Saccharomyces cerevisiae S288C: one gene and its partner. The gene in region 1 interacts genetically with each later gene. Each region holds a gene or a part of one and is shown on either strand. Other genes may lie near its edges.

Region 1 (2,593 bases):
GTGTGTATGTGGGTCCTCATTCAGCTGGTCCACGTAACGCAGAACTTCAAATTCAGTAGCGGATTCATCTAAATGAATGAAATTAGCAACAATGCCGGCCTCTTCAGCTGCCTTACGCTTCATGCGTACATATGTGGCTGAGTCTGGTCTGTTGCCTACTTGAATGATGGCAAGGTTAGGTGCAAACCCAGGCACGTGACCTTGAATGCTTTTGATTTCATTAGCAATATTGCTTCTAAACTGCTGAGCGCATGCTTTGCCGTCCAACACTTGACCAGCCATGATTTCTTATTTGACTTGTAAAGTTGTGTTCGTCTCGTTACCTGGTCTCACAACTTCAATTGAATGGTATCGCTATCGTTGTATTGTAAACGAGTCTATATATAATAAAAAGTTACGGGTTATGGAGAGCGCGTATATAATGAATGAATGACTGACCATAGTACGAAAGCGATAAAGAGGAAAAAAGAACAAAATTGTCACTGGGAGGAGTCATGGCAAATATATGATCACGTGCGATTGTGTAAACCTGTCAACGCCACAGATCGGGTAGGTAACCCGCCGTAACGCTCTCGTCGTCACCGTATACGGATTGCCAGCGCGAGAACCCCCCACGCAACACCCATAGACGACAGCGAGAAAGTTCCGCCGTGTCAAGCGACCGAAGCAGCAGCATCGCTGCAGACGGTCCGCGCTGCTGCGATAACATACAATGGAAAATCACGTTCAGCGCTCCGCGGCCGTCCGCTTGCTTTTCCAACAATCTGTGCTTTAGCTCACGTAAGTACTCCGGATCCTGCTTAAGGCGCGAATAGGCGTAGTGCCATCCGTCCTTGATATGGCCCCCCATATAATCTGAGCCTCGCACATCCACTACCTGGAAAGGCTCCCTCAGCGTAGTAGTGTGTCCTTCTTGCATCCAACGATGCAATTCAGTCGGATCCAGGTATTTTACGTTTGTTATTGAGTACGAGTCCATATTTTTTTTGCAATTGACTTCTCTTTTGCTTCTATCTGGCTGCACAGCTATCTATACTGTGCTGAAAACTGTATGTGCGGAGGAAGTAGAAAGGCTAGCGACAGCCAGAAAGAAAAAAATGGAAAAAAGGAAAGGGAAGAACCCAATAAGCGAAATGTGCATTACCCGTATTTGTCGTTTGCATGTAGGAAGAAAAAAATGAGTCGAAGACCTACCGTTATATAGTCATTCTTTTTCTTACGTTTTTACGCTTCGTTTCTTAACGCTTTTTAATAAGTATGAAATATATATCTGGTATTGGTTTTAGTACAGTTACCATTGTTTGTTTCTCCTGTTTCTTTTATTTTTTCTGCCGTTCTTGTATTTTTTATACCCATTCCCCTTTCTTGCATACGCCAGTCACTTTTCTTTATTGTATTGTTTAACTTTCAAATTTCACTCTTGCTATTCTCTCTTGGTAGTACAAAGCACAGCAGACACAAAGAAAAATGGCAAACCCAACAACAGGGAAGTCCTCGATTAGGGCTAAGCTTTCTAACTCATCGCTATCAAACCTATTTAAAAAAAATAAAAATAAAAGACAGCGTGAGGAAACGGAAGAGCAGGACAATGAGGATAAGGATGAGAGTAAGAACCAGGATGAAAATAAGGACACACAGCTCACTCCCCGCAAGCGTCGCCGGTTGACGAAGGAGTTTGAAGAGAAGGAGGCTCGTTACACCAACGAGTTGCCCAAGGAACTGCGCAAGTATCGTCCTAAAGGTTTCAGATTCAATTTGCCTCCAACGGATAGACCCATCAGGATATATGCAGATGGTGTTTTTGATCTTTTCCATCTTGGCCACATGAAGCAACTGGAACAGTGTAAGAAGGCTTTCCCCAATGTAACACTGATAGTTGGTGTGCCTAGCGACAAAATCACTCACAAACTAAAAGGTTTGACTGTGCTGACCGATAAGCAGCGTTGTGAAACTTTAACGCACTGCAGATGGGTTGACGAAGTCGTGCCCAACGCTCCCTGGTGTGTCACCCCAGAATTTCTACTAGAACACAAGATTGACTACGTGGCACATGACGATATTCCTTACGTTAGCGCCGACAGCGACGATATCTACAAGCCAATAAAGGAGATGGGAAAATTCTTGACTACCCAAAGAACCAATGGTGTCTCTACAAGTGATATTATCACAAAGATCATCAGAGATTATGACAAATATTTGATGAGAAACTTTGCAAGGGGTGCTACCAGACAGGAGCTGAACGTTTCTTGGTTGAAGAAAAACGAACTGGAGTTCAAAAAACACATCAATGAATTCAGGTCATATTTCAAGAAAAACCAGACAAATTTGAATAACGCCTCCAGAGACTTGTACTTCGAAGTCCGTGAAATCTTGCTAAAGAAAACGTTGGGCAAAAAACTCTACTCCAAGTTAATAGGCAATGAATTAAAGAAACAAAATCAACGACAAAGAAAACAGAATTTTTTGGATGATCCGTTTACTAGGAAGCTAATCAGGGAGGCCTCTCCGGCTACAGAGTTTGCCAACGAATTTACGGGCGAAAACTCTACCGCTAAATCACCGGATGACAATGGAAATCTTTTCAGTCAGGAAG
Region 2 (2,819 bases), on another chromosome or scaffold:
AAGGGAGCGTTATATGGGTGTTATTGAAGGTATGCAGATTACTGAGGCTGAAAAGTATGCTGATAAACATGGTGAAGGCTCCTTTAGAAATTTTGGGGAAAAAAGTGACGATTTTGTTGCTAGGTTAACTGGATGTGTCGAAGAAGAAGTTGCTGAAGCATCTAATGAAGGTGTCAAGAATCTAGCCCTAGTTAGTCATGGAGGTGCTATCAGAATGATTTTACAATGGTTAAAGTATGAAAATCATCAAGCTCATAAGATCATTGTTTTCAACACCTCTGTCACTATAGTTGATTACGTCAAGGACTCCAAGCAGTTTATTGTGAGACGTGTCGGAAACACCCAACATCTTGGTGATGGCGAATTTGTCGTCAGTGACTTAAGATTACGTTAGACACTATATGGTTATTCACTGTTGGGTTTTTCTCATTTTGTATTAGAAATGCGGTTTAGGTAGTAATAGAAATTTCGCATGCGTGTATTTTATTTTAAAACATATAGTTCGTAAGGGTTTATCTAAATGCAGTAGATGTTCATAAATTATAGGGGTTTTATGTTTTTATATTATTGATATAGTTTTTCACATGAGATGAGAACGACGCGTTTATTTTAAAGGAAAGAAAACTGTGTCGTAATATGTAACAAGACTACATTGATACTCCATAGCAGAGAAATGGATATGTTCTGTCGGTGGTAAATTCAGGTGAATTGTATATCAGTGAAACTATGCAACAAACAAAATTTGGCAAGATGTATTTGGACCACGATTCGGTAGTTGAGTACTCAGAAGATGAAATTGTCGAAGCCGATCGTATTACATTGGGCTATAAAAAGAGATTGTCAATGATTGAAAATCAAATGCGACATCTTTTGGAGGATTTTAGTTTGGACGTTCAGCAGATTGAACCCATTCTTGCCGACTTGCAGAAGTACTACGACGCGTTTCTACAACTTTTACAGAAAAGGAACAAATCATTACAATGTAAGAGGTCCACTCACCAGCCGGTCCCATCCCCAATGAATAGCCAGACATCAACAAATGCAAAGGTTAATTTGAGCGGAAAGCTTATGAAGTTTCAGCTAAATAGTGTACAAAAGTTCGACGAAGAAAATATACTAAGGATTCTGCAAAATAAAATAGAATTCGAACATTATTTCCAAATTGATAAAGGTAAGAAGCAAAAGGTGCTATTACTTGCCGTATATCAATGCCTCAATGGGCCAACACGTTTGCATAAAGTGCTTAATATTGAGGGAATTATACATAATAATAGTATCAGAACTATACTGGGCAAACAAGTGTCCAGTTCTAAGTGGACAGTGTTTCTGTACGATGTAAAACTAGTTTTATTGGCGCATAGACAAGATGTTCCGAACTTAGAAACTAGCAAGATGATCGTCAGATATGGTGATTTATTTCCCTGTGCATTGTACTTCAAAGATCATACAGCATACTAAGCGCTTTCCAGGGACACCTTCTGTCGCAAAATATCAGAATTTTTCTTGATTAAACGCAGCATATTGAGTATATGAAATTAACGGGACACTGTGTGAAAAATTTGTAGTTGTACTTTTTTGTTATCCCCTTTGGTAGACATATGGACGAATTACTACTAAGATTGGCTTCCATAAGGCCCAAATCCAGATATCACCTACGGTATGTCCTTTTCCTACTTGCAATGACAAATAATTTGTTATTTATCTTGGAACCTATATAAGTTACATCTGATTGCTTTTGTATTTTTTTTGGAGAATATTATTACCCGCGGGGAAGGAAGTAAGGGGAGAATTTTTGAGGTGTATAAAAGAGAGTGGAGGCTTAATCAATCAAAGAATTCTTTCTCGTTTATTTTCAGGGTTTGTGACTAAGAAACGATATTAAAATGTGGAAGGCCGTGATGAATGCTTGGAATGGAACCGAGAGTCAAAGTAAGAATGTTTCAAATATTCAATCTTACAGTTTTGAAGACATGAAAAGAATCGTTGGAAAGCATGATCCTAATGTGGTTTTGGTAGATGTTAGAGAACCATCTGAGTACTCGATTGTTCATATTCCTGCTTCCATCAATGTGCCATATAGATCGCACCCTGACGCATTTGCCTTAGATCCTTTAGAATTTGAGAAACAGATTGGCATCCCAAAACCTGACAGTGCCAAGGAGCTAATATTTTATTGTGCTTCTGGCAAACGCGGGGGAGAAGCTCAAAAAGTCGCCTCCTCACATGGATATTCAAACACCTCACTATATCCTGGCTCTATGAATGATTGGGTTTCTCATGGGGGTGATAAACTTGACTTATAGCCTTGTATACTCTAGGTATGTACCCTGTGTATTTTCGTAAGCTAGTAACGTATTATGCCATTTATGTCACACCGTTCATAATATTTGCCTATTGCATTGGCTGTGATAGCGGCGGCGCAAAGAAATTAGGAAGTATAAAAAAAAAAATACAAAACTTAATCTGAATGGAATAAGATAGCGATAACTCTCAACAAATGGAAGCGAGACAGAAGAAAAAGACCAACGATGTTCAAGCATAGTACAGGTATTCTCTCGAGGACAGTTTCTGCAAGATCGCCTACATTGGTCCTGAGAACATTTACAACGAAGGCTCCAAAGATCTATACTTTTGACCAGGTCAGGAACCTAGTCGAACACCCCAATGATAAAAAACTATTGGTAGATGTAAGGGAACCCAAGGAAGTAAAGGATTACAAGATGCCAACTACAATAAATATTCCGGTGAATAGTGCCCCTGGCGCTCTTGGATTGCCCGAAAAGGAGTTTCACAAAGTTTTCCAATTTGCTAAACCACCT

The links.
Region 2: of YCH1 (region 1) and RDL1, changing one enhances a phenotype caused by changing the other (phenotypic enhancement), as found in Saccharomyces cerevisiae (one study listed by BioGRID).

Annotation. Positions count from the first base shown.
Region 1 is NC_001139.9:903,623-906,215, reverse strand, and holds YCH1 (phosphatase YCH1), read right to left. Parts: upstream 980-2,593; coding exon 533-979; downstream 1-532. Other genes in the region: trifunctional formate-tetrahydrofolate ligase/methenyltetrahydrofolate cyclohydrolase/methylenetetrahydrofolate dehydrogenase ADE3, read right to left, coding at 1-282; PCT1 (choline-phosphate cytidylyltransferase), read left to right, coding at 1,468-2,593. UniProt on the Saccharomyces cerevisiae protein: Protein phosphatase.
Region 2 is NC_001147.6:847,752-850,570, forward strand, and holds RDL1 (thiosulfate sulfurtransferase RDL1), read left to right. Parts: upstream 1-1,883; coding exon 1,884-2,303; downstream 2,304-2,819. Other genes in the region: YOR283W (phosphoglycerate mutase), read left to right, coding at 1-394; HUA2 (Hua2p), read left to right, coding at 727-1,458; thiosulfate sulfurtransferase RDL2, read left to right, coding at 2,529-2,819. UniProt on the Saccharomyces cerevisiae protein: Thiosulfate:glutathione sulfurtransferase (TST) required to produce S-sulfanylglutathione (GSS(-)), a central intermediate in hydrogen sulfide metabolism.